4 linked regions of the Anolis sagrei genome follow. The protein of the gene in region 2 interacts with the protein of the main gene of each other region in a pairwise test. Links are inferred from orthologs where the notes say so. Each region holds a gene or a part of one and is shown on either strand. Other genes may lie near its edges. The genes, in order: COX5B, BHLHE40, AAMP and AANAT.

Region 1 (7,256 bases), on a different chromosome or scaffold from region 2:
CTTTCTAACCCCTAATCTAAGTCAGTGGTTCTCAACCTGTGGATCCCCAGGTGGTAAACTGGCTGGGATTTCTGGGAGTTGTAGGCCAAAACACTTGGGGACCCACAGATTGAGAACCACTGATCTAAGCCATTAATAAAGATGTTGAACAAAACCAGGTCCATGATGGAAACCTGCGATACGCCACTCGTCATTTCTTTCCAGAATGAAGAAGAAGCGCTGGGAAGAATCACCCACTGGGTTCATTCACTTAACCAATTACAGATCCACCTAGCCATAGTTTTGGCTAGCCCACATGTATTTATTTCATGTATTTATACTCCGTCCTTTTCACCCCCGAGGGGTGGACTCAGGGTGGTTTACAATAGGCCACCACTAGATGCCGGACATTAAATTAAGAAATTAATTAAAAAACAATTAAAACAATTATAAACATCCAAGATTTAAAATTCTAAAATATCTTGAGTTTAAAATCGTGATCCAAGATCAGTCCATTACCAGTCTCATCAGTCACATTCGAATCACTATATGTATTGCTCAAAGGCTTAAGAATTTTTTTTGGAATGCAAGGAGGGCCTATCTATATAAATAAAAATGTAATGTTCGTTTGTGGGATTAACATAACTCAAAAATTGATCTTGTCATTTGGGAGTTGTAGTCGCTGGGTGTTATACGTACTTTATTTACAATCAAAGAGCATTCTGAACTCCACCAATGATGGAATTGAACCAAATGTGGCACACAGAACTCCCATGACCAACAGAAAACACTAGAAGGGTTTGGTGGGCATTGACCTTGAGTTTGGGAGTTGTAGTTCACCTACATCCAGAGAGCACTGTGGACTCATACAATGATGGATATGGACCAAACTTGGCGCAAATATTCCATATGCCCAAATATGAACACAGATGGAGTTTGAGGAAAATAGACCTTGACATTTGGGAGTTGTAGTTACTGGGATTTATAGTTCACGTACAATCAAAGCGCACGCTGAACCCTACCAACGACAGAATTGGGGCAAACTTCCCACACAGAACCCTCATACTTAAGGCCATCCAGTCCAACTCCCTTCATCAGGACAAGAAAACATAATCAAAGCCCTTCTGACAAAGAGGCATCCAGCCATAGGTATAGATAGATATATATGATTCACATAGAGAGAGATATAGTACCATAGATTTGAAAAGGACCCCTAAAAAGGACAATGATATGTTGCATGTTCCAGAGCAGGCAAACCAGACAATCTCCAAATCAACACTGACAAAGAAACAGCAAGAAATACTGTTTACCCACAAGCATAAAGAAATTACATATATTAGAAACCAACACTTTCTAATTACTTTATTTTCCAGATCAACAGCCTGGGCCACAGCAACGCGTGGCAGGGGACAGCTAGTATCTATATAATTAAAAATGTAATGTTCATTTGTGGGATTAACATAACTCAAAAATCACTGGACCAACTGACACCAAATTTGGGCACAGTACACGTATCAGGCTAACAAGTGACCATCACTTGTAAAATCACTGAAAAAAACCTCAGTGTACAATAAAAGCTTGTATATCAACTGTACCTCGGGAAGCCATGGAGCCCCTGGTGGTGAAATGGGTTAAACACCTGTGCTGGCAGGATTGAAGACCGACAGGTCGCAGGTTCAAATCCGGGGAGAGGCGGATGAGCTCCCTCTATCAGCTCCAGCTCCTCATGTAGGGACATGAGAGAAGCCTCCCACAAGGATGATAAAAACATCAAATCATCCGGGCGTCCCCTGGGCAACGTCCTTGCAGACGGCCAATTCTCTCACACCAGAAGCGACTTGCAGTTTCTCAAGTCACTCCTGACACAACAAAACAAACAAACAAAAAAAACCCTCGTGAAGCCATACTTGGCCACGGTGGTCCAGGCCTTAGTTACATCTCGAATTGATTACTGCAATGCACTCTATGTGGGGCTGCCTAAGAGCAGTACGTGTGAAAAAGACCACTGGGGGCTCCGTTTATATTGGACAACAAGTTAAACATGAGCCAACAATGTGATGTGGCGGCAAAAAAAGCCAATGGGATTTTGGCCTGCATCAATAGGAGCATAGTATCTAGATCTAGGGAAGTAATGCTCCCCCTCTATTCCGCCTTGGTTAGACCACACCTGGAATATTGTGTCCAATTCTGGGCACCACAATTGAAGAGAGATATTGACAAGCTGGAATGTGTCCAGAGGAGGGCGACTAAAATGATCAAGGGTCTGGAGAACAAGCCCTATGAGGAGCGGCTTAAGGAGCTGGGCATGTGTAGCCTGAAGAAGAGAAGGCTGAGAGGAGACATGATAGCCATGTATAAATATGTGAGAGGAAGCCACAGGGAGGAGGGAGCAAGCTTGTTTTCTGCTTCCTTAGAGACTAGGACGCAAAACAATGGCTTCAAACTACAAGAATGGAGATTCCATCTGAACATGAGGAAGAACTTCCTGACTGTGAGAGCCGTTCAGCAGTGGAACTCTCTGCCCCGGAGTGTGGTGGAGGCTCCTTCTTTGGAAGCTTCTAAACAGAGGCTGGATGGCCATCTGTCAGGGGTGATTTGAATGCAATATTTCTGCTTCTTGGCAGAATGAGATTGGACTGGATGGCCCATGAGGTTTCTTCCAACTCTTTGATTCTAAGACGGTTCAGAAGCTTCAAATAGTGCAAAGGAGGGAAAAGGAAGGGGCCTGAGCTGTTAGGGATTGCGGGGGTTGAAGCTCAAAATACCTGGAGGGAAGGCCCAAGTTGGCCAAAGTCTGTGTGAAAATGCCCTAACCCAGCCTCACCTCCGGCTCCCATGCAGCGAGAGGCTCCGGCCAGGCGCAGCGGCCCTAGAGGGAGGGCATTCCGGCCCGCGGCGAGCCCTTGGAAAAGGCCGCAGACCCTGAGTAACCTTGACGCCATGGGGAACGCGAGGAGCTATAATAGGCCTTGTCCACAGGCCTGTTTCCGCTTTCCGGGGGAGGGACTTCCTCCCACGCAGGCGCCGTTTTAACCAACCGTTGTCCAACAGCAACCCCTCCGACGCGCCGCTCAATGGGCGTGGCCGTAACCGCCGAAGCTGCACACCCATTGGACACGTTGCCTCGTGGGCGTGGCCTGGGAGTGAAGTTTCCTTTCTTTCCAGTCAGTAGGGAGGCGCCATTTTGGAGTGGAGTGGAGAGGAAGGGAAGGAATTTACCTGGTTGGAAGGAGAGAGATATTGACAAGCTGGAATGTGTCCAGAAGAGGGCAACTAAAATGATCAAGGGTCTGGAGAACAAGCTAGGCCTGGGCTATGTTTTGTCACTCTTCTTATAGGATTCTTATAGGCTGAGGGGAAAAGGAACTTCATGTATGGCTTCCCTGGAATGAGAATATAAACTTCAGGCAACTCTGGCCCTTTTAGAGCTCCTAGAATATCATAATAATAATAATCATGATAATAATAATAATTTATTTATCAGCAACTAGACCATTGGATTACATTCCTAACAGAACAAAACAAACACAAAACAAAAACCACAGATTTTGCAAGCTTGGTAGTTGATTAAATGTCCTTTGACCAGTATCTGGCCACTTGGAGTGCCTCTGGTGTTGCCGCAAGAAGGTCCTCCATTGTGCATGTGGCAGGGCTCAGGTTGCATTGCAGCAGGTGGTCTGTAGTTTGCTCTTCTCCACACTCGCATGTCGTGGATTCCACTTTGTAGCCCCATTTCTTAAGGTTGGCTCTGCATCTCGTGGTGCCAGAGCGCAGTCTGTTCAGCGCCTTCCAAGTTGCCCAGTCTTCTGTGTGCTCAGGAGGGAGTCTCTCATCTGGTATCAACCACGGATTGAAGTGATGGGTTGGAGCCTGCCCATTTTGGACTCTCGCTTGCTGAGGTGTTCCAGCGAGTGTCTCTGTAGATCTAAGAAAACTATTTCTTGATTTAAGTCGTTGACGTGCTGGCTGATACCCAAACAGGGGATGAGCTGGAGATGTCACTACCTTGGTCCTTTCACTATTGGCTGCTACTTCCCGGCGGATGTCAGGTGGTGCAATACCGGCTAAGCAATGTAATTTCTCCAGAGGTGTAGGGCGCAGACACCCTGTGATAATGTGGCATGTCTCATTAAGAGCCACATCCACTGTTTTAGCGTGGTGAGATGTGTTCCACATTGGGCATGCATACTCAGCAGCAGAGTAGCATAGCGCAAGGGCAGATGTCTTCACTGTGTCTGGTTGTGATCCCCAGGTTGTGCCAGTCAGCTTTCATATGATGTTTCTAGCGCCCACTTTTTGCTTGATGTTCAGGCAGTGCTTCTTGTAGGTCAGAGCACGGTCCAAAGTGACTCCCAGATATTTGGGTGTGTTGTAATGCTCCAGTGGGATTCCTTCCCAGGTGATCTTCAGAGCTCGGGATGCTTGTCTGTTCTTAAGGTGAAAGGGGCATGTCTGTGTTTTAGATGGATTAGGGATCAGTTGGTTTTCCCTGTAATAGGCAGTAAGAGCACCTAGAGCTTTGGAGAGCTTCTTTTCAACCATCTCAAAGCACCCTGCTTGAGTGGTAATGGCACGATCATCAGCATAGATGAAACTCTGTGTCCCATCTGGCAGTGGCTGGTCATTTGTGTAGATGTTGAACATGGATGGAGCAAGCACGCTCCCCTGAGGCAGGCCGTTCTTCTGTTTCTGTTGTTGACATGCTGGCTGATACCCAAACAGGGGATGGGCTGGAGATGTCACTGCCATTATTATTATTATTATTATTATTATTATAAAAACTTTATACCCCGCCACCATCTCCCCAAGGGACTCAGAGCGGCTTACATGAGGCCAAGCTCAACAACACATCAATAAAAACAAAATGCAATAAACAAAAACAATAAATACAATACAATTAATATTAATCACATATAAACAATAACCAATACACAGTAACACACAAGGATTTAAAAACCAGCTGCTGATCCGGACAAAAAGGAATGTAATAGTTTAAAATGTAATAGTTTAAAAATTAAAAAAATAAACGCTGGGCATGAACAAGGTAGGATATATCTGGTATAGGGTTTTAAAAATAATACTAATAAAAGAGTAAAAGAATAAATAACCTTGACTCGAGTATAAGCCATGGGGAGCTTTTTCAGCCTAAAAAGAGGGCTGAAAAACTAGGCTTATACTTAAGTATATACAATACACACACACACACACACACACATATATATATATATATAAAGAGAGAGAGAGAGTGGTGTAGCATAGATAATATAAATCTATAGTGTTTTTCGGGAGAAAAGTCCTCTTTAGTTCATTATAGAGCTGAGGAAACTTGCAATGAAAGTAAAGCATTTTAAATATACTGTATATTGTTTATAGTGGATGTCTTCTGGGAGCTGGCCATAGAATTGCACTGGAAGACTTAGCCTTGATCTACACTTCCGTATCGTCCAGTTCAAAGCAGATAACCTGGATTCATAAACTGGATTATAGGGCAGTGTAGATGGGGCTTTTCCGATTCATCCAGCATGACCTTACTGTCAACTTTTGCTGGAAGCCAACCATAGATCTGAACTGGAGGATCGAGAGAACATTTTGAAAATCCAGTCCATCAATATTCAAAACTGGAAATGTATTGTATTTGCATAAGGGGGGAATCTTGTTACTGATTGGCTCACCCTGTCGCCAGCTTTAGTGCCCTGCTTCTGATTGGCTGCTTTAGGAATGCATTCTTTTTGTTGATTTTCAAAACAGGTGGGAGTTAGAGAGCCGTTGGAGCAGCCAGGTAAGGACTTCCTCCAAGTTGAAGAAGGGAGACTGCTTTCCTTTTTGTCTGGATGAGCAGCTGATGAGTTTCTGACTCCTCCTTTCTATCTTATTGGTGTCAGTATGCTTCAGTCAACCAGATTTCCCTCAAAAGTGGGCTTCATCAGGCCTAACTCCCACCCAAATTCATTCCTACAAGGGAATCCTGCAATTTATCCTGAATTTTCATCCCCAAGGCCTTCATAGCTCTCTCAACGAATGAGCCAAATGTTAAGATGGCCTCTGTCTGCAAATGCAACAAAGCCCCTCCTCCCAAACCCCCCTCAAGTTCCTGTCATTTTTCACCTGGTGGGTGCTGCAGTGACCCAGGGGGGCGGTAATGGCCACAGGTGCATTTGGGGGCGATGAATAATTGTAAGGGGGCGGTGAAAGCATAAAAGAAAGAAGAAAATATTTCAAAAAATTGATTTCCAGAGGGGTAGGCCAAATAAGTTTGGGAACCACTGATTTACATTTTTCAATAGATATGGTCACCAGGCACAAACTTTTCATTAAGAAGTTCTGCTTTGAAGGGGGCAGAAACAGAAAGAGAAGAAGCCCCGGAAATGGCTCCTCTTGTTTAATGAATGGGAGTGAAATATCTCCTGGTTCACAATTGGGAAAGCAGTACGGCAGGGCTGTATACTCTCACCCGACCTATTCAACCTGTATGCAGAACACATCATGCGACGTGCAGGGCTTGACGAATCCAAGGCTGGAGTTAAAATTTGCTGGATGAAATATTAACAACTTTAGATATGCAGATGATAGTACTTTGATGGCTGAACGCGAGAAGGAGCCAAGGAGCCTTCTAACCAAAGTAAAAGAAGAAACTGCAAAAGCTTGGTTTCAGTTAAATATCAAGAAAACCAATATAATGGCAACCAGAGTGATTGATAACTGGCATATAGAGGGAGAAAATGTGGAGTCAGTGACAGACTGTATTTCTAGGCACGAAGATAACTGCAAGTGCCGTCTGCAGCCAGGAAATCAGGAGACGCTTCCTTCTTGGGAGAAGAGCAATGGCCAAATATCACTCCTGGTGGTGGTGCCCAGCTTATTTGTCTGAATGTATTTCCCTCTTGGTGGTCTGGGCATACCAAATCACATCTCCTGAGGAATCTGTATGAGGACCAAGTAGCAACAGTAAGAACTGACCATGGAACACCAGACTGGTTCAAGATTGGGGAAGGCATACAGCAGGGTTGTATACTCTCACCCAACCTATTCAACTTGTATGCAGAACACATCATGCGATATGCGGGCTTGACAAATGCAAGGCTGGGGTGAAAATTGCTGGAAGAAACATTAACAATCTTAGATATGCAGATGACACCACTTTGATGGCCGAAAGCAAAAAGGAGCCAAAGAGCCTTCTAACCAAAGTGAAAGAAGAAACTGCAAAAGTTCGGTTTCGGTTAAATATCAAGAAAACCAAGATGATGGCAACCATTGATAACTGGCAAATAGAGGGAGAA
Region 2 (6,984 bases):
GAAATTCCCCTGTTTTTGAGTGTTATTCTTTATTTACTGTCCTGATTTTAGAGTTTTGCAGTGTTGGTAGCCAGATTGCATTAATTTTACACTGCAAATGAATCTTTTGTTAACTTAAAAGTTTGCCACCAGGAAAACAGGGAAGAAAAACCAAAATGCACTCTCCCTAACAAATCATTTGACTTATCCTGTTGCATCTTCAAATCCAATCCGATCCAGAGGTTCATGAACTTAGCAACAAAACCAAGTCCTATCAGGAAGCTCAAGGAAGCAATCCAACCCGAGACAAGACAACTCTCTCTCCCCGTTCACACCTGCACTGCTTCAGGAAACCTCTAGATGGCAACTTTACCTGCACAAAAAGCCCTGCAAAGCCAACCCAATGCCCAACGCAGAAGGAAGAAGTCTCTGGGCAGTGGCCAGATTTTCACTTACTGTAAGTTTGAGATGTTCTGGTAACAGATCTTTCAGCTGGGCAATGCATTCATTAATCCGATCTCGTCTTTTCTTTTCAATCAGCCGGTGGGGTAACTTGTAGGTCTCCTAAAAATCAACAGGTACCAAAAAATTATACAACCATTTCATCAGTTGAGAGGAAAAGTGATTTCTGAGCATAGTATTATCTGTCCAAATAGATTGGAAAAAATTATAAACATTTTCTTAGATCATTTTTTTTTGTTTTTTAAAAAACAGCATTACCAAACCCAAAGTTTATTGCAGATGATGTATTTTGATCATCTCCAGAAAATTATCTGATGCAACTATGAAGTGAGTTTCCTGGGCTGTATGGCCATGTTCCAGAAGCATTCTCTCCTGACATTTTGCCCACATCTATGGCAGGAATTTTCAGAGGTTGAGAAATCTATTGAAAACTAAGAAAGTCAGGTTTATATCTGTGGAATAACGTCCAGGGTGGGAGAAAGAATTCTTGTCGTTTGAGGCAAGTGTGAATGTTGCAATTGGCCACCTTGATTAGCACTGAAAAGCCTTGTAGCTTCAAAGCCTGGCTGATTGCTGCCTGGGGATCAACACTCAAAAACAGGGGAATTCCAGACAAGAATCAATCAGGGGCAATTAATCACCTCCCAACAAAGGATTCCCCCAGGTAGGAAGCAGCCAAGCTTTGAAGCTGCAAGGCTATTCAATGCTAATCAGGGTGATCAATTGCAACATGCCTCATCTTGCCTCAAACAGACAAGAGTTCTTTCTCCTACCCTGGATGCTATTCCAGAGATATAAAAACCTTGCTTACCTTGTCTTTGACAAACCACACAACATCTGAGGATGCCTGCCATAGATGTGGGTGAAATGTCAGGAGAGAATGCTCCTGGAAAATAGCCATACAGCCCGGAAAACTTACAGCAACTCAGTGATTCCGGCCATGAAAGCCTTCGACAACATATGAAGATATTGTTTTGCTGCATGATAAGGCAAATCCATGAGCATAATAACATTTTTGGAAAAATGAATACCCTCCACCCCACAAATAGAGTCTCCAAAAACAAATTTTGAGGGGCCATTGAAAATGAATGCTCTTTTGTATATGTTTGGGAAGACCATTACTTAATCTCAGAACGAAACTGGGTCAAAATTGAGTTGCTGTTGAGTTTTCTGGGCTGCATGGCTGTGTTCCAGAATCATTCTCTCCTGATGTTTTTCCCACATCTATGGCAGCCTTCCTCAAAGGTTGAGGGGTCTCAACCTCTGAGGATGACTGCCATAGATGCAGGCGAAATGTCGGGAGAGAATGCTTCTGGAACATGGCCATATAGCCTGGAAAACTCTCAACAATTCAATGATTCCAGCTGTGAAATCCTTCAACAACACATTGGGTGAAAACTATTCACTGAGGACGCTAAGAAAATACTAGTCAGTAAATAATAAATAAATAAGAAAAATGCTACGAATGTTCTGTATTTACCTTGCTGTCTTCGCCTCTTTTTAACCCTCTCCTGGGTTTATAAACTTGGTACATGTGAGCAAAGTCCAACCTGTTGATGAGCCAAAAGGAGAAAGATGTAAATGACTTGCAAGAATAATCCAGGAAGGTAGTCAATCCTCCCCATCCCTCTCCAAAACCTACAGAAGTAGCATCTACACTGCGGAATGAATGCAGTTCAAATGAATGCAGTTCAACGCCACTTGGCTCAGTGCTCGGGAATAAAGGGGGCTGGAGTTGTACTGCCACCTCCATAGCATTGAGACCTGGGCAGGTCAAAGTGGTGATAAACTGCATTAACTCTAAAGCGTAGACACAGTAGAGTGAGAAGAAAGAGGGCTAAGCTATAGAAAAGTTTGGAGAGAAGGAAAACAAGGGAGAGGAAATTGAGAGGTGTACTGCTTGTCCCAGGTGCAGAAAGTGAGAGCAGAGGTAGCCAAGGGAAGCACCATCCCAACCCAAGAGGAACCTGGTTGGAAAGCGATTTCAATCCCACACAGATAGATAGATAGATAGATAGATAGATAGATAGATAGATAGATAGATAGAGAGCTTACCCTGGCATCTCGTTGCCCTCCAACGTGGCCAGCTTGCCCAAGCAAGGCGGTGCTGGAGGAGGAGGAGGTTGGGCGCTGGGGATCCTTTCCATGGCCAACTGGGTGGCTTCTCCTTCCTCTTCTTAAGGTTGCCTCTCCTTCCTTCCTATCCTTCTCCCTCCGGTGAGCTGTTTTCCTCTAAGGATGGAGCCGAAGTCTCCAAGATCCCGCTTTGGGTCTCTCTCTCTCTGAGTCGGCTTTCCTTTTTTTCCTAACAGGACTTTCTCCTCTGGTGGTTCTCCTCTCTCTCTCTCTCTCTGGGTCAAAAGGAGAGGCGAGTTCTGTCTGTGCTTCAGGTGGGAGAGCCTTTGCGGCGCGTCTCTGCAGCGCCTCTTTCTCCTCCTTCGGTGCGGACGGAGGACAGAGCGATCCGATCCGCCCTGTGACTGACTTCAGGCACGTCTGGCCGCGGCTGCTTCTGAAGCCGGAGAGGGAGGGAGGAGAGGAGAGGAGAGGAGGAGGAGGAGCGGGCCTGCCTCTTCTCCCTTCCTCTGCCCCCCCCCCGTCCCTCCCCGCCTCCCTCCTCGCCTCCCTCCTCATCACATGAGCCTCACGTGTCGGACAACGCTCCGGCCTCCCTCCCTCCCTCCGCTGTGGCCAGGAGCTTCCCTGCCGCCGCCTCTGCAAACGTGACCCAGGGCTGCCCTGGGAGGGCCCCGGAGGAGGAGGAGGAGGAGGAGGAGGAAGGCCTGGCCCCACTGCAACTGCTCCGCTTATCCCATCGCATGAAGAAAGCCCTGGCCAAACTCCAGGGAGGACCCTCGACTTGGAAGACATCCTCCCCCCCCCCCAAGGGCCATCCAGTCTGACCCCTTGGCATGCAAGGAAAGCACATTCAAGGCGCCTCCCACAAAGGACCACCCAGCCCAACTTCCTGACACACAGCGAAAGGGACTGTCTAAGCACTCCCGACAGATGGGCATCCACTACAACCTTCTGACATGCAGGAAAGGCACAATCCAAGCACTCCCGGCAGATGGTCATAAAGTTCAACCCCCTAACAGACAGGGAAAGCACAATCAAAGTACTCCCGGCAGATAGACATCCAGTCTAACCTCCCAACATGCAGGGAAAGCACAATCAAAGCACTCCCGGTGGATGGCCATAAAGTTCAACCCCCTGACACGCAGGGAAGACACAATCGAAGCACCCTCGTCAGATAGCCATCCAGTCTAACCTCCTGACATGCAAGGAAAGCACAATCAAAGCACTCTCTACAGATGGACATCCAGTCTAACCTCCCAACGTGCAGGGAAAGCACAAAAACACTCCCGGTGGATGGCCATTAAGTTCAACCTCCTGACATGCGGGGAAGGCACAATCAAAGCACACCCGGCAGATAGCCATCCGGTCTAACCCCCTGACATGCAGGGAACTCTCTGCCCCGGAGTGGTGTGGTGGAGGCTCCTTCTTTGGAAGGTTTTAAACAGAGGCTGGATGGCCATGTGTCAGGGGTGCTTTGAATGCAATATTCCTGCTTCTTGGCAGGGGGTTGGCCTGGATGGCCCATGAGGTCTCTTCCACAATCAAAGAACTCCCTGAAGATGGACATCTAGTCTAACATCCTGACACGCAGGGAAAGCACAATCAAAGTACTCCCGGCGGATGGCCATAACGTTCAACCCCCTGACACGCAGGGAAAGCACCACTGACAGATGGACATCCAGCCCAAGCCTTTGACATGCAAGGAAAGCAGAATCATAGAATCATAGAGTTGGAAGAGACCTCATGGGCCACCCGGTCCAAACCTCTACCGAGAAACAGGAAAATCGCATTCAAAGCACTCCCTGCAGATGGCCATCCAGCCTTTGCTTGAAAACCTCCAGAGAAGGCGACTCCTAGGCAGTGTAGTTCTTCCTAAAGTTCGTCCTAACGTTTACACGGAATCTCCTTTCCTGCCATTGGAATCCATTCCTCCAAGGTGTCCTAGTCTCCCCAATGTGGCACCCTTTCACTGATTCCAAGGTGGCTGTCATGTCCCCTTCCCTCAGCCTTTTCTCCTGCAAGCTACACACCCCCAGCTCCCTAAACTACTCCTCATTGGGCTTGGCTTTCGGACCCTTGCTCATTGTGGTCACCCTTCCCTGCCAACATCCTGAAGTGCCCAGAAATGGACACAGTCTTATTCCAGGTGAGGTTTTTTTCGTGTCAGGAAACTGCAAGTCGCTTCTGGTGTGAGAGTATTGGCCGTCTTCAAGGACGTTGCCCAGGAAACGCCCGGATGTTTTTGATGTTTTACCATCCTTGTGGAAGGCTTCTCTCATGTCCCCACATGGGGAGCTGGATCTGACAGAGGGAGCTCATCCGGGCTCTCCCCAGATTCGAACCCCCGACCTGTCGGTCTTAAGTCCTGCTGGCACAAGGGTTTAACCCACTGCGCCACCGGGGGCTTTGTGACCAATAGGGTGGGGTTATGGCTTCCCTGGATCTTGACACTGGACTCCTCTTGAGGCAGCCTAGAATGGCATTGGCTTTTGGGTTTCTAGTGTGGGGAGGAGGCACCAGCCCTTTCAGGCAAAGACAGATCCCAGGCTTCCATAGGGTACAGCGGTGGCACTTAAAGTAGGCTCAACCTGCCTTCCCTGCCTGGAGCTCTCCAAAGGGGGACTTCCGACCAGGAGCGGCTTCGGAGTAAAGCCAACGCGTTGGAGTTCCGGAGAAGCAGCCGCGGCACCCTCGCTCCATCACGCAGCCACGCATGCGCACAGGCGTTGTCACTGGAGAGGGGATTTCAGGAGAATGCCTCCCAGCTGCTTCTCTTACTTGTACGCAAGGCTATGCTGTGCCCTGCTTGCAAAAAAGAGTAGCAGGCATGCAGTCATTTGTTTTCCCTCAATGCTAAGACTCGATGGATGTGTCTAATGTAATACAATATAATACTACTACTAATAAATATATAATATAATTATAATTACATGTAATATAAAATATATAATATAATTATATATTTTTATATTACATGTAATATCTTCTATCTTTTCTATATAAATAAAAATGGAATGTTCGTTTGTGGGATTAACAGAATTCAAAAACTTCTGGACGAATTGACATCAAAATTGGACACAAGACACCTAATAACTCAATGTATGTCCTTCACTAAAAAAAATGATTTTGTCATTTGGAAGTTGTAGTTGCTGGGATTTATAGTTCACCGATAATCAAATAGCATTCTGAACCCCACAGGCCCGTAGCCAGGATTTCATTTCGGAGGGGGCTAAATTTTTTCAGGGGGGGGTTCGGGGGGGCGAGTTTCGGGGGGGGGGGCTGAGTCTGAGTGAAAGAGGGTCTAGCCTAGCAAACCTTTTGTATCATTACCCCAATACCCCCATGCATATGGGATATATTTATTTATTTTATTTATTTATTTAGTACACTTGTATACCGCTAATATCTCAGCCTAGAACGGCGACTCATTGCGGTTTACAACAATAAAACAATATTCCGAATAAAAAAATATAAAAACACATATATATACAATACACAGTATTGGGCCACCAATACAGACCAATGCATCTCTTAAATTAAAATCATAATCCAAATTCGTTGTCTGTAATTGCCAGTCCTTAGTCAAAACTTCATCGCATCGGATTAGCCAAATGCTTGCTCAAACATCCATGTTTTCAGTTTTTTTCGAAATACCATCAGCGAGGAGGCTGATTTTATCTCTATAGGGAGGGCATTCCAAAGCCGCGGGGCCACCACAGAAAAGGCCCTGTCTCTCGTACCCGCCAGCCGCACCTGTGAAGCAGGCGGGATGGAGAGAAGGGCCTCTCCCGAAGATCTTAGGGTCCTGGTGGGCTGATAGGCCGAGATACATTCGGATAGGTATGTTGGGCCAGAACCGTTTAGGGCTTTAAAGGCCAATGCCAGCACTTTGAATTGGGCCCGGTAGCTAATCGGCAGCCAGTGGAGCTGGTACAGCAGAGGAGTTGTATGCTCCTTGCGCCCTGCTCCTGTTAGTACCATGGCTGCCGCCCGTTGGACTAGTTGGAGCTTCCGAGCCGTCTTCAAAGGCAACCCCACGTAGAGAGCGTTGCAGTAGTCAAGGCGGGATGTAACCAGAGCGTGGACTACCGTGGCCAAGTCAGACTTCCCAAGGTACGGTCGCAGTTGGCGCACGAGTCTTAGCTGTGCGAATGCTCCCCTGGTCACCGCCGAAACCTGGGGATCCAGGCTCAGCGATGAATCCAGGATCACACCCAAACTGCGAACCTGTGTCTTCAGGGGGAGTGCGACCCCGTCTAACACAGGCTGTAGCCCTATACCCTGTTCGGCCCTGCGACTGACCAGGAGTACCTCTGTCTTGTATTGAGTATATATTGAGTATGGTGATCAGATCATGATATGAATAAATAACAGTTTAAATAATGCACCAGTAAGGCCTTTTTCGCGAACCACCATGAGAATTTGGGGGGGGGGGGGGCTGAAGCCCCTCAAGCCCCCCCCCCC
Region 3 (7,158 bases), on a different chromosome or scaffold from region 2:
TTGTATGAGGAGCATCCAAACAAGAGGAACTAAAATGGCCTGAAATATTTATTTATTTACTGTATTAATGCAAAGCCTTTCTCACCTCTGGGGAGACTCACGGTGGTTTACAACATACTATTGGCAAAAAATCATTGCCAACATACAGTAAAACAAAGAGATCATAATAACTAATGAAATACCCTGGGATCACCCCCATATCTTGTTATCTCAAGACACCGCCTTGGGAACTTAAAGCCAGAATCAAAAATGGTCCCAGCAGCTTTCAATCCAGGAACACAATACAGTAAACATAGGGCAGGGAGGTGCAGCAAAAAGAAGGCAGAAAAGAGAGAGTAAGCTATATTGTCAGGTGACACAGTCCTTGCTTGTAGTTTCAATGTTAAAGGAGTTGCCCAAGTGATCCCACATGAATCAAGGAAATATAGTTTTTGAACATACATGGAACTCCCTTACATATCAGCCAAATGTGGGGGGATGGCAGAGTGTGTCTAACTGCAACAAATATCAACCACAGCGGCAGCTAGGTCACACAACTTATTTCAGTGCTTTAGGAGGTGCTCTGACCCCCAACTGCACTCCTGCCTTCCAACTAAACACAACATAGAGTCACCTGCAGTTTTCACTTAGGATGGAAAAGAAAGATCCAGAGAGAGCAGCTAATGAAGTAGGAAATCTGCTCTGGCTCCCCTACTAGCTCACCAGTATGTTTTGAGAAGGTGACCTCACTGTCATCTTGGGCCTCCATGCCCTCCTCCACTCCCTCATCTTCCTCCTCAGTCACCCAAGCGCCCTGCTCTTCGTCGAGGTCCACATCTTCCATCTCATCAGCCAGATCATCTGCCAAAAAGTAGAGAAGAGGGACATAGATTTTTGAAACAACTCAGTGTCAAGTTCTTCTCACTGCAATGTGAGAAACCCCACCCACCACCCCAAACATGCATACACTAAGTTTTAGGAAAGAGGAGGATACCACTCAAAAGTCCACATCAGTCCGAAACCAGGGGTCAAGAATTCATACCTGCAAACGTATTATTTATTTACTCTATTTATACCTGGCTTTTCTCTACCCTGAAGGGAACTCAAGGCAATTATTCAATGCCATAAACACATACAATTCCAAAATTAAAATTAAGGATTAAAAATAAGTTATTAATACATATTAGATATTTTAAAACATGACATTCCATATTAAAATCATGACATCCATAATCGTATTCCAAGCCATTCCATGGTCACTGCACATATTCCAAATCTGTTATTGCACAGCACTATTCTCCAAAAGCCTGATCCCACAGCCAAGTTTTTACTTTTCTTCTGAAGGCTAGGAGGGAGAGGGCTGATCTCTTATTATTCTTATTACTATTATTATCATCCTACACAAGATTTAGATATAGGAACTCCTAATATTCAGTGCCCCCACCCCCACCCTGCCCCAAATGACATGAGATCCAAAGGTTTTGGCCCTAACAAAAACAAGCACCTAGCTCTTCTTCTTAATTTATTTATTTAATGTATTTACCATATTTATATTTATATCCTGCCTTTCTCACCCCAGAAGGGGACTCAAGGCAGCCTAACAACAGGCAGCAATTTGATGCCGTACACACAAATATAAAATCAATAATTACAATTAAAACCAAATAATTAAAACATGGGATTATTGAAACAACAATTAAAATCATGCCAACCAAAGCATAATCCAGGGCCGTTCCATTTGTCAATCACATTGTTTCATAGTCATTTATTGCACTGCTCCAATTATTTGTCAAAACTTGGTACCAACACCATGTCTTTTAAGTTGTTTTCCTGAAGGTCAGGAGAGAAGGGGCTGATCTGATTTCACTGGGGAGGGAGTTCCATAGTTGAGGAGCCGCCACTGAGAAGGCCCTGTCTCTCGTTCCCACCAGTCATGCCTGAAAAGGAGGCAGACCGAGAGCAGGGCCTCCCCTTCTTGTTTTCAATCTCCCTTATCTTTTAGATATGACAGCAAGGATTCCTGTCTTGCTTATACTGACAATCAATCTACATCGAGACCCCTCCCATCTGTAAAGGAACAAGGATCACAGATGGACAGATAAATGTTTCCATTCCTTGCTTCCTGGAAAGCAGCACATCTAAGAGAGCAAAATAGAAATCACCCCCTTGTCCTCCCTTCCAGGGCTTGTCAGAAGAGAATCTAGACCAGTGCTTCTCAACCTTCCTAATGTCGTGACCCCTTAATACAGCTCTTCATGTTGTGGTGACCCCTGCAAATGATCAGCCACTGCCAGAAGTGCCAAAGAGTTTCACCTATGCTAACGATCATGCCATCACCGCTCTAGCAGGGAGCTTGGAAATGGTTGAACAGAAGCTCTCCAAAGCTCTAGGTCTGTGTTTCTCAACCTTCCTAATGTCGTGACCCCTTCATACAGCTCCTCATGTTGTGGTGATCCCTGCAAATGATCAGCCACTGCCAGAAGTGCCAAAGAGTTTCATCTATGCTGACGATCATGTCATCACCGCTCTAGCAGGGAGCTTGGAAATGGTTGAACAGAAGCTCTCTGAAGCTCTAGATCCGTGTTTCTCAGCCTTCCTAATGCCACAACCCCTTAGAATATTAAGTTTCCCTACTCCAAGCATGGGCAAACTTAGGAATTGTGGGAGCTGAAGTCCAAATCACCTGGAGGGCCGAAGTTTGCCCATGCCTGGGTACTCAGACTCTAGGAGGCCAAGGGTGGAATCCCTGCTCAGACGTGGAGCAAGCCACACTCTCTCAGCCTCAGAGGCTCTGGGCCCTTCTTACCGGGCCCCGGCGGCTCCAGGTCCACCACTTCCACGATCTCTTCCGCGCCGCCGCCTGACACGAGCAGGAGGGCCCCTGACCCCTCCGGGGCCGGCTCTGGCCCTTCCCCGCCGCCAGGGTCCGCCATGCCGCCTGCCTGCTGGACTCCACAACACGCCACACGCGGCACCTGGCCCTGATCTCGCCAGCCGCTCTCCTCTTCCGCCCGCCCCTCCCTCGAGAGGCATGAGGAGGAGGAGGAGCCAAAGCCCTTCCGCCAATCAACGAAGGGAATAAATGGGAACAAACGCCTAACTCATCAGTACGGCCGTCCTGATTGGCTGCTTTCACATTCCAAACCAGGCCTCATTTCCTAGGCACCGCTTTGCTCTCTGCGTGGCCTGTCACGAATGGGAATGGGAGGAGCCAAAATATCTCCACCAATCAATGAAGAGAATAAAAAAAGGGAGACCTTCCCCTAAGTCATTAGTACGGCCCTCCTGATTGGTCGCCTTCACATTCCAAACCGGGCCCTATTTCTTAGGAGCCGATTTGTTCTCTGCGTTATCTGTCATCTTGAGGGAGGGGAAGGAGCCAAATTTCTCCACCAATCAACGAAGGGAAAAAATGGGGACAAACCCCTAACTCATTGGTACGATCCTCCTGATTGGCTACTTTCACCTTCCTAGCCAATCCCCGTTTCCTCGTAGTGCGTTGCTTTCTACCGTGAGGTAGAGGGAGGAGCTAACATCCCTCCACCAATCAACGAAGAGGGTAAAAGGGAGGCGGGAATACCAACTAATCATTACGGTCCATCTGATTGGCTGTTTTCACATTCCAAACCAGGCCCCATTTCCAAGGAGCCGCTTTGCTCTCTGCGTTGCCTGTCACCATGAGGGAGGAGGAGGAGGAGCCAAAATCCTTCCACCAATCAATGAAGGGAATAAATGGGGACAATCCCCTAACTCATTGGTACGATCCTCCTGATTGGCTACTTTCACATTCCGAGCCAGGCCTTATTTCCTCGAAGCGCTTTGCTCTTCACCTTGAGGTAGAGGGAGGAGCTAACATCCCTACACCAATCAATGAAGAGGGTTAAAAAGGGGGGAGGGGAAATACCAATTAATCAATAGGCCCTTCTGATTGGCTACTTTCCAATTCCGTGCAGGGAGGCCGAAGGGCGTCAAGGGAGTTGTAGTCTCAAGTTCCTCTGCTGCTGCCTATGGCTCTCGGTCTTACCCAGCATGCATCAGGAAGGGCCTAGAGAGCGTCCCCCAAGATGGCGGCTGTTTGTCTTCGCGTGCAGGGTAGGGAGGGAGTCTGAGGCTGTTTCTGGAGTGGATTTTGGGCTGGCGTGTGAGGAGGGAGGAGAAAGAGAATGGGAGGGAGGCTCTCAGGGGAGAAAATGGACACCGTGGTTTGTGAATCCTTCCTCAAGAATTACGAAATGCTCCATAATCCAAAATGGTCCACATAAGTGGTTGAGGAAGTGACACCTTTCCTTTAGGGCCGCTCAATGTGCGCAAACTTCGTTTCATGCACAACATTAAAAAAAATAGTGCATAGATTTGCCTTCAGGTTGGTTGTCAATGAAACAAATTGATTTTAGGTTTGGATTTGGGTCTCAAATCCAGCACAATCTGTTCCCTAGCATTTCAGATAAGGGATGCTTTACCTTCAGCAGTATTTATTTAGTAATAGCACGACTAGAGGAAAGGATTTGTAGAAGTGTGTTTGGACTCTAGTGCCCATCATGCTGAAGATGGTTGAAAGACATTTGGAAGTCCAAGGTTCTCTACCACCAATCACTTCCCGAAGTTGAGAGAATGATGGTGCATGAATAGTTTTTTGAAACCTCCTTTTCACTATATAGCAGTTTTGTGAGGTTAGTTATACGGAGACAGCAGCCGTCATCCAATGATATTTATGGCTGACCCCATCCAACAGCCTGTGTTGGATGGGATCACACTCCCCTGAAGACATAGGTCCACAGTCTGGGGCTGATCTTGGACTCATCGCTGTTCCTGTGACCTCAGGTGTCGGCAGTGGCTAGGAGCCCCTTTGCACAACTTAAAACTTGGTGCCAGCTGCACCTAGAGACACCAGACTTGGCCATGGTAATCCACGCCTTAGTCACATCCCGCGTAGACTACTGCAACACTCTACATGGGGTGGCCTCTGAGGATAGTTTGGAAGCTTCAACTGGTTCAAAGTTTGCAGCCAGATTACTAACTGGAGGCCTGTACAGGGAAAGATCCACTCCCATGCTACGGCAGCTCCACTGGCTGCTGGTCTGCTTCCGGGCTAAATAAAAAGTGCTAGTTATTACCTTTAATGACTTGGGTCCAAGCTATTTAACTAATCGCATCTCCACCTACAAACTAACGCGGGCACTGCAGTCATCGGAGGACGCTCTGTTCTTGGTCCCAACCCCCATCTCAAACATGGCTGGTGGGAATGAGAGAGTGTTCTCCGTGATCGCCCCTCCTCTGGAAGTCCCTAAAGAAATAAAGCTGGATCCCTCCCTTCTCTCTATCAAAAAAAAAAAACAGCTGAAAACCTATCTTTCTCACAAGCGTATGGAGAGGAGGAAGATTAGATGAAGAGACTGCTGATTAGATAGTATAAATGCACTCGGGCCTTGTAAGATCACATTAGCCCATTTAACAACTTTGGCCATAAAATCTATGCACACATTTGTAAACCTTCATGTTGTACTGATATATTAATTTGGATGTGTTATGTTTAAATTCTATGTTAGTTATAATTTTCAATTGATTACATTTTATTTAAACTATAGTTGTTATACTTAAGTTGCTCTTTATGTGGGGTTATCGTGGGTTTTTATATTTGTATTTACTGTTATTGAGGCATTGAACGTTTGACTTTTTGTTTGTTGGAATTCACCCTAAGTCCCCCAGGGGAGATAAGATGGAATATAAATAAAGTATTATTATTATTATTATTACTCGATGCACTGTGAGAGGTCATTCCTAAGATATAAACAGAAGCAGAGGAAGATAGTGTTTCCTTGTCTTTGGTCCCTTAGTACACAATTATTGTACAGGGTGTCCATAAAGCCAATTTACCATTTAACAGCAAAGCAAATGGTCAAGAGACTTTATTGACACTGTACTTTGATCTCACCTGAATTGGGATTTCTGTTTTCATATAATATTGAGGTATCTTTGCAAGAGAGCTCTCCAAATCCCAACATTTGGCAAGGTTTGTTCAGAGGCTGAGAGAGTGAGACTTGCCCAACATCACCCTTGGCCAAGCAATGATTCAAACCCTGGTCCCCAAAGTCATACTCCGACAGTCAAACATGGCACAGCGCAAGCCCCAATAGCAAAATGTAAAGCAGGGTGTGGTATGTTGCAATATGTTTGTCCTGAAGAGAATTTTGCCCATCAAAAATCTCTGCTATAAAATTTCTTAGAACATTTAACAATCATGTCCATTGGCCACTACATTAAAATATATTTTAATTTCTTCCAAAGATTGAGAATGCCACAGGTATTTTACAATAAATTATAAGGCACCTTAGAAGGATATTTTGCATTATGTGTACAGATGCAAAATGTTAAATTAGTTAGCTCTCAGGACAGCCTAATTTTGTACTGTTGTGCATACTTTCTTGGGAATAAGTCTCACAGAACCTTGTGAGGTAAACATACATAAGATGAGCCTGTCAAGCACATTTTAGGTGTTTGTAATTTTAGTTCCTCCGCTTACTGACACAATGCACAAATTCAGATCCGCTGTTGAGTCTGGAGGCAGCACTGATAGAGGATCTTGTTGAAACTTTTAGCAGAAGTACAATCTCATGCAAGTAGCTTGTCCCCTTGCAGGCCTTGTTTCTGCCACTGTGAATCGAGCTGCAGGCTTTATTCTGCCTTTCAAAACACCAGCCAGATCCATCAACAAAAGCCACAGGGTGTGGAAAGAAGTGCAGACAAAGCCACAGCCTGGTAGACAGGTCTATGAAGATGTGGAATATATTCCCCCAAAGAAAGCCAAGAACCCTATGAAGCCAGTTGCTATTGCTTGGTGAGCATTGCATTTTCTGTTTGCTTTATTAACACTTCAGTGTTCCTAGCCTTGTAATTATTCGTAGCATAGAATGTTGGGAAAACCTGTCTGAGAGAAAGACGGGAAGGGAGTAGGAACTGTGTGACTCTCCAGTTTTAGACGGTGTCTCCTACCATCTGCTAGCATTAGCCACACTACCAAGAGCCAATGGAAATTATAGTTATATTAAAATTATTTCCTGTTATTGGGCCATGAAACTTCTCCATACACGGGCTATGCTCAAAACCAAGAAAATAACACGACCCTGGGAAGAAATAGGATCTTGTGATCTGGGCTTTAAATAAAATCTGTGTTTGCTGAAC
Region 4 (7,923 bases), about 73 Mb from region 2:
AACTTCTTGAGCTTTGTGCACCTTAGTAATATGAATCTCCACACTTGTTCCTAGGAACAACATAGAGATTTCAATGTAGAGCACGTGGATACCCTTCTATAACTTGGGTATGTGGGTTATCTTTTATAACTGTAAGATTAATCAGATCTTAAGAAATTATTTTTATGTTTCCCTTAGTTGCAGCTATCCATTTATACTATATTCATGTCCATGGAAGGATGCAACAATTGCACTGGGAATAAATCTTAAGAATGGCTGTTAAAGCCTCATATTTAAATTATTCTGTTAAAATACTTGCACAATATATTGTACAAAATTACACTGCCAGCCTTGATTGCTAAACACATTGAAGATAATGAATAAGACCTGGGGCGAGATTTTTTGTACAATTAAGAAATTAATGCTAAACTCTCAATAAAATCACTATACTGCCTCTACATTTATAACATTAATACTATCTCATTTTTTTCTCTATACAGAAACAAAGCTTCACTCCCCACAGCTTCTACTTAATTGGGCTTTTATATCAGGACCTCTTGCACTAGGATGACCATTAGACTCTTGTGAGCATGAGACATTAGCTCCAGAAACTCCCATTGCCTTCCCAGCTTCTGAATTTCCATGTCACAATTAGACTCCCTCAATTTGCTTTACATCTAAGCTAGCAGTGATGGATGTCCAAAGGAGTTAATTGAGAGTAGTGCACTCAAATTATTCCCATACCAGACTTTAAGGGTTTTCAACATCACAATAATAGTACCAAAATTATACCCTGATTATTTTTATTAGGTAAAGAAAACACCTCTCTCCTCCTTACTTTCAAATTTCAAAGCAACCTTTGAAATTGAGTGTATTCGATTTTGCTCTTCAGACAATGTTTCTCTCCCATGCCTTCAATTCCTCATATCCACACTCTTGCAGCCATCAATTTAATCATTGTGTTTATGCTTTGGCTCAAATTTTCTACTCCCCCCACCAAGACTTTCCCTCCTTCTCCTCCTGCATCTTTGCTGTTGTGTGTCTTCAGTCATTTCTGAAGTATACCAACTCTAAAGTGAACCTATCACAAACTTTTGGGGCATGACTTGTTCGGAGGAGGGGGCACCTTTGTCTTCCTCTGAGAGAGTGTGACTTACCCCAGGTCACTCAGTGGGTTTCCACAGCCAAGTGGGTATTTGAACCCTGGTCTCCCGGTCTTCACTCTATGCTCAAATCGCTGCCCCACACTGGCTCTCTTTCCCCATGATTCTTTCTCTGGGCCTAAGCTACAATACAGACCCAGAATGAGACAAAGGGGGCAAATGCACAACAGATGGCTTAATTTGAAATCCTCTTTTTCCCATTTTATCTTTGTTCGTTTGCTTTCCATTTCACTCCTTGTCCGCCTTCCCATTTTGAGAGCCACTCCCTCCATCTTCAGCAAGACACTCATGGACAGCCAACTTCAAATTACTTCCTGCCCCTAACAGGGAACAAAGCCAGGTAGGGGCCTTTGGGGGCAGACACTGGGGAAAGGAGGACAAAAAGGGAAGGAGGTAGAGACCCACCCCCAAAGGTCCCTCTACTACACTGTAGAAGGCCTTTGGCGTTCTCTGCTAAAGAGTGGTGGTGCCTCGGCAAGCTCCAAATCCTGGGATTTCATGGCATTGAGCAGTGATGGTTCCAGTGGTTTGGAACTGCCTTCATCTGTAGCAGGCATGGGCAAACTTTGGCCCTCCAGGTGTTTTGGACCTCAACTCTTACAATTCCTAAGAGCCTCAGGCCTTTTCCTTTTCTCTCTCAGCCGCTTAAGCAGAAAAGCTTAATGCCATCAATTGGGGACCCCTTCCCCCAGCACCAACTGCTGCTCTGGGCCAGAGTAAAGAGAGAGGGGGACAGTTCCATCTTGTCTCCTGCATATGTCATCAGCTGGGGACCCCTCCCCACAGCACCAACTGCCGCTCTGGGCTACAGTGAAGGGGAGGGGGGCAGAACACAGTTCCACCTTTTCTCCTGTGCTATTCTAATCATATAATATAATATATTGTGTATATACATATAATATTTATAATAATGTAATGCAATATAATAATATAATTATATATTTCTATTACATGTAATATTACTAATATTACATGTATAATATAGTAATATTTAATACTGATATTGTACTATGCTAATAATATAATATATTGTATGCATATCTTGTAAGCCGCTCTAAGTCCCCTTCGGGGTGAGGAGGAGACTCAGAGATATTTTATTTATGTCGTAAATAAATAAAATAAAGGGAAAAGGAAGGGGGGCTGAGACTGTTAGGAATTGTGGAAGTTGAAGTCCCAAAACACCTGAGGGGGGGGGGGGGAGGGGGAGTTTGCCCATGCCTGCTGGAGATGAAGGCAGTTCCCCACCATTTGAACCATCACGGCTCAATGCCATGAAATCCTAGAATTTGGAGCTTGCCGAGGCACCACCACTCTTTAGAGCAGTGGTTCTCAACCTGTGGGTCTCCAGATGTTTTGGTCTTCAACCCCCAGAAATCCTATCAGTTGGTAAACTGGCTGGGATTTCTGGGAGTTGTGGAGCAAAACACTTGGGGACCCACAGGTTGGGACCCACTGCTTTAAAAGAACGCCAAAGGCCTTGTAAAACTCCAGCTCCCAGGATCCCAGAGCATTCTGCCATGGCAGTTACAGACAAACTGCATGGATTCTGTCTTGTGGATGCGCCAAGACTAGGGAAGGGGAGCACCTGTCAGCTCCGCCTCTGCTTTGCCTCGTAGGGTGGGAAGGGGCGCCATCTTATGATGCTCTACTTGAGGCATCAAAGGCCTGTGAGCACCTTCTGGAGCCCTCCTCCTCCTCACAGAGACACGCTCGCGATTCTCCCTGTTTTCTGTGCTGTGTGCCACAGCCCTCTTCGGTTGTGAAAGCTGCCTTCCCTCTCTTCTCAGGCGCCGAGGCCTTCCCTCCATCCACCTCCATCCCCTTCAGAGAGGAAGATGTAGGCCCGTCCCTCTCCCCTTCTCCCTCCCTCCCTCCTCAGGCTGCTCTTGGCCCCGCCCCCTCCTCGCTTTGCTATTTGACGCGAGGCGTCGCCATCTTGGAGCCCCGCCCCCTACCGAACGCGGACTGCGCCTGCGCGCGCCGGGAAAGCGAGCAAGCGAGTGAGCGAGAGTGAGCCAGGCGGCCGCCGTCGCTGCTGCTGCTTCTCTCCCTCCCTCCCTCCGCCCGCCTCCTTCCTTCCTTCCTCCCCCCTCAGCCATGGCGGAGCCGCCACCGACCACCGGGACGCCGCCATCTCCAACGCCGCCATCAATAGCAACAGCAGCACCCGGCGGCGGCTCGCAGCGCCTCCTCTTCACCCATGACTTGGTCTCCGGCAAGTACAGGGGCTCGGTGCGCTTCGGCCTGGTCCGCGTCATGCACGGCGAGGACTCCGACTCTGAGGAAGACGACGGCGGGGGAGGAGGAGGAGGAGGGGGCGGAGGGGGAGGAGGACGAGGCCCAGCAACAGCAGGAGGAGGAGGAGGAGGGGGCAGCTCGGCGGGCTCGGAGTCCGGGGGCCCCGGAGGAGGAGGAGGAGGGGAAGAAGGCCGCGGGAGCCCCCTCCGCCGCGGCTACGTGCGCGTCCAGTGGTACCCCGAGGGCATCAAGCAGCACGTCAAGGAGACCAAGGTAGGCCCCTCCCGAGTGGGCAAGGAGCGGGGGAAAGGAGATGCCGAGGCAGGAGCAGCAGCAGCAGCAGGCCCTCTGTGGGCGTGGGCCTGGTGGGGGCTGCGGCAGGGGAGGAGGAAGAGGAAGGGCCGCCCTGAGGAACCTGAGGGAGGGTCGGGGGTCTTAAAGGAAAGTTGGCGAGGAAAGAGGGCGGTGGCAAGGAGGGAGAGCGAGGAGAAAGGACGGGGACATGCTCTCCCTCTGTGTGTGTGTATTCCTCACACATATATACAGATATATATATATATATATATATATATATATATATATACACACACACACACACACACATACAGATATATATATACAGATATATACACACACAGTTACGACTGTGGAATGACCTGCGGAAGAGCTCCAACAGCTAAACAAACTCAACACCCATCCCTTCTGGCAGGCCTACCCAGTCAACTTGCTATCATGTGTTTTGATTTGCACTCTATTGCCACGACTGGCGGAGGTGGGTGAGCGATGGGGTCTCCTCAGTGGTGGCCCCTCGCCTGTGGAACTCTCTACCCAGCATTCGAACAGTAGTAGAGGCAGCAATTGAGAATGAGACACAATTTATGTGAATGACAATGGACTGACCTGGACTACAATTTCAAACCTGTGTGATTTAAACAATGTTTGAGTAATTTTATGTTCTAATTGCTTTTATTGTTTATTACTGTTGTTGGCATTGAATGAATACCTGTTGACAAACTTGAATTGGAAAATGACTCTGGAACGGCCCAAGACGATGGAACTGATAAGGACTTGAATGAGAGGATATAGTTTATAGCTTTTAATATTGTTATTATGCACTGGCTTATGTCTAATTGCACTATAATGGTTCTTTTGTTTATCAATGTATGTATTTTTATGGCATCGAATTGTGCCGATTGTGTACGCCGCTCTGAGTCGCCTCCAGGCTGATATGAGCGGGATAGAAATAATGCAAAAAAAAAAAAGTTGTCAAGCCGCCCTGAGCCTCCCTCCGGGGTGAGAAGGGCAGGATACAAATATGCAAAATAAATATATGTCAATTTTGTAGCAGTGTTTGGTATAAGTTTTCAAATGTCTGTGCTTGGCAATGCAATTTAGTAATTTATTGTATTTTTATTTACTTCACTTGTATTCCGCTTTTCTCACTCGGGGGTGTGTGTGCTCAAAGCTGTTTCCAACATGTGTTGTTGAAAGCTTGCGTGGCCGGAATCACTGGGTTGCTGTGAGTTTTTCGGGCTATATGGCCATGTTCCAGAAACATTCTCTTCTGACATTTCACCCACATCTATGGCACGCATCCTCAGAGGTTGTGACCTCTCAACCTCTGAGGATGCCTGCCATAGATATGGGTGAAATGTCAGGAGAGAATGCTTCTGGAACATGGCCATACAGCCCGGAAAACTTATAGCAACCCGGTTTCCAACATATTTCTGACAAAACATAATGCCTCGCATACATATGAAACCTAACATAAAGCGAGAATAATATAACTATCAATTAGATCATACAAACCTAACAACATTTAAACATTAAAACATAGAATTAAAACATATTAATATAAATGGTAAAATCACATAATCCAGAAATAATGGTCCAAGGCCATGTATTTTTATGTTTGTTTGTTTGTTTTTTAATTAGTTGTACCCCTCCTTGAGCCATCAGGGAAGGCAGATAATGAATAAAATGTATTACTATTATTATGCACACAATCTCACACACATTGATATAGATATACATATACACACATAGGTTCTCTCTCACACACATACACATATATACACAAAAACATATATACATTTGCACATATATAGATACACATCCATCCCCTCATACGTACCCTATACACACACCCACACACATATATATACATACTCTCACACAAATAAATATTGCTAAAGATATATACTTTCTCTCTTACATACAGATATATACACACCCACACATATACTGAGTGTGCCAAAAGTCACAAAGGGGTTTCAATATTTAATAATTCCTTTGTGCTTTGTTTTTAATTTACAATGTTCACAAAAGCATATATAGAATATATAGGAAATGAAATTGAATTACATTATATATAAAATCTTTTCAAACAAAAATTTCAAAGAATTATTGAAACATTAGATGCCTTTGTGAGTTTTGGCCCACTCTTTGTATGCACATTTATATATTTACATACATGCACTCAAACATACGTATGCATACATAGATAAGCACACATGTGTACATATATATACTGTATATACACTCACGTGTATAGCTCACACATGCATATATGCATACATACATTCCTTCAAGAATGCTACTATTGATTGATATTATAAATACTGTATTATCTCAGGCCAGTGTGCTCTGAAAAAGCTGCCTTACATTGTCCACATTGCATTGTACAGGTTGTACAGTTTTCTATTTTGGAAAGAAAATCATATTTTTTTTCTCTCTCTCTCTCTCTCCCTGTCCCCCAAATAGGTTACATTCTGTGCTCCCCCTTCTCCCACCATAATATTCTAGAAGACTTCTTTCACCATTTTAAAAAATATGTTGTTAGGCAACATGCTTCTATTCAGCATCCTGAATGCTCCAGGCCTTCCCTGCAATCTGTGTTTTGCGGGTTGTTCAGGTAGTCAGGAGTTTGGACGTGGTCTCTCAGACTCTTCTGCAGTGACATCTGCTGATTGGTATTGCTGTTCTGCAGAAGTTCATATTTTTTTACTGCATGGTTTCAGATATGGATGGGGATGGAACTTATTTAAGAGGGAAAAAACATCACTGGAGACCATTATTTTTAGCAAATGTTTGGATAACTATAAATACTTGTGATGCCTCAATGTATTAATTGAGAATATTAATATTCTTGGAAGTGAACTATATTATGGCATAGGGGGAGTTTGTTGTTAGTTGCCACTATAGTAGTAAGTGGTTGGTAGTGTAGGAGAAGCAAATGTAGCAAGCCTTCTAAAATGAAGGTATTAATGGTTAAATACTGTTGGTTGGAGCAAAAAAAAAAAAAAGGTTACTGTTTGGGTAGGAGGGAAAACATTGTCTTTGCTCCAGTATGCATAATTGATGTTATATAATTATGCATAATTAAAAACTGAAGGGCGTATTTATATCATGAGACACAAGTTGACATGAATTGCTTAAAAAATAACAGTGTACATGTCAAATAGCTAACTTGCATCTCATTTGAAATATTGAGAGTGATACTAATATTCTGTGAACTCTATGTTAGGTTTTCAAATGTTATGGAGAAGAATGACTTACTCCAAATATGTAGAACAAAAGAGAGTGAGGGGTGGGCCCAGATGTAATATGAGAGGACCGATGCATTGTGTGTATCTTGAGAAGGAGTGGCATGGATATGCTGTGATAAGTGAAAGTATGTACTACTCATATTCTTATTAGCAGTCCTTGGCCTTGAAATCATGTGTATTTCTTTGAGAATAATGCGATGCATTCACTATGACCAGACACTTCTTTTCTGGCTGTGATTAAATCCATTAAGTTCATAGCAAAGAAATCAGCAATGACAATATTAAAAAAAGCCCTGGAACCCCCTAAAAAGATAGATATTCATAATTTTTCACATAGATTCTGAGAATATTTAAAATTTTGGATATAGGCTTTCTGTGACAAAGCTTGGTCTGTATAAATTCTAAATTATTCCCAAGGGTCTTATTTTTACTCAGGCTTTTTGGTTTCATAGTGAGGCTAAAATTGTAAGATGTCACTTGGGGAAAACAGTAAACCTAATTATAGTGTGCTTTCAAGTCTTTTTGGTTGTTGTGTGCCTTCAAACTATTTCCAAGTTTGGCTCACCTTAGGATTTCCATATCATTGCATTTTCTTGTCAAGATTTGTTCACCTGACATTTGTCTTTGTCTTCCTCTGAAGTTGAGAGGGTATGCAAATTTTGTACTCTGTCTGGGCATTGTATCTTTTTACCCTGTTTCCCCTTCCCTTCAGCTCCCTCACCCATATTGTGCTTCAGTAGTTATATTTATATTTTTAATGTACCAAACATACCAAGTTTGTATGAAAATGTGACTATTTCCTGTGCTGGTCAATGACCGAAATAAATGATTTGATTTGATTTGAGAGGCTATGACTTACCCAAGGTCACTCAGTAGATTTCTGTGTCCTAATGGAGATTTTAACCTTGGTCTGCAGAGTCCTAGTTCAACACTCAAATTACTACAGTGTGATAGCTCTTAACTTTCTTTAGACAGGAGTAAATAAAAGTATAAAC

The links.
Region 1: the proteins of BHLHE40 (region 2) and COX5B interact in binary tests that used the Homo sapiens proteins (3 or more experiments, as listed by UniProt). The two-hybrid records come from large-scale screens. The link is inferred for Anolis sagrei from reciprocal best matches to the Homo sapiens genes BHLHE40 and COX5B.
Region 3: the proteins of BHLHE40 (region 2) and AAMP interact in a two-hybrid assay, tested with the Homo sapiens proteins (2 studies listed by BioGRID and IntAct). The link is inferred for Anolis sagrei from reciprocal best matches to the Homo sapiens genes BHLHE40 and AAMP.
Region 4: the proteins of BHLHE40 (region 2) and AANAT interact in binary tests that used the Homo sapiens proteins (3 or more experiments, as listed by UniProt). The two-hybrid records come from large-scale screens. The link is inferred for Anolis sagrei from reciprocal best matches to the Homo sapiens genes BHLHE40 and AANAT.

The regions. Positions count from the first base shown.
Region 1 is NC_090027.1:24,180,258-24,187,513, reverse strand, and holds the start of COX5B (cytochrome c oxidase subunit 5B, mitochondrial), read right to left. Parts: upstream 3,002-7,256; 5' UTR 2,922-3,001; coding exon 2,804-2,921; intron 1-2,803. UniProt on the Homo sapiens protein: Component of the cytochrome c oxidase, the last enzyme in the mitochondrial electron transport chain which drives oxidative phosphorylation.
Region 2 is NC_090022.1:46,308,531-46,315,514, reverse strand, and holds the start of BHLHE40 (class E basic helix-loop-helix protein 40), read right to left. Parts: upstream 3,003-6,984; 5' UTR 2,589-3,002; coding exon 2,497-2,588; intron 1,992-2,496; coding exon 1,922-1,991; intron 544-1,921; coding exon 436-543; intron 1-435. UniProt on the Homo sapiens protein: Transcriptional repressor involved in the regulation of the circadian rhythm by negatively regulating the activity of the clock genes and clock-controlled genes.
Region 3 is NC_090021.1:228,680,106-228,687,263, forward strand, and holds the start of AAMP (angio-associated migratory cell protein), read right to left. Parts: upstream 3,014-7,158; 5' UTR 2,913-3,013; coding exon 2,786-2,912; intron 841-2,785; coding exon 703-840; intron 1-702. UniProt on the Homo sapiens protein: Plays a role in angiogenesis and cell migration. In smooth muscle cell migration, may act through the RhoA pathway.
Region 4 is NC_090022.1:119,356,831-119,364,753, reverse strand, and holds the start of AANAT (serotonin N-acetyltransferase), read right to left. Parts: upstream 3,018-7,923; 5' UTR 2,728-3,017; intron 2,084-2,727; exon of another isoform or gene 1,137-2,083; intron 1-1,136. Other genes in the region: UBE2O ((E3-independent) E2 ubiquitin-conjugating enzyme), read left to right, coding at 3,240-3,653. UniProt on the Homo sapiens protein: Controls the night/day rhythm of melatonin production in the pineal gland. Catalyzes the N-acetylation of serotonin into N-acetylserotonin, the penultimate step in the synthesis of melatonin.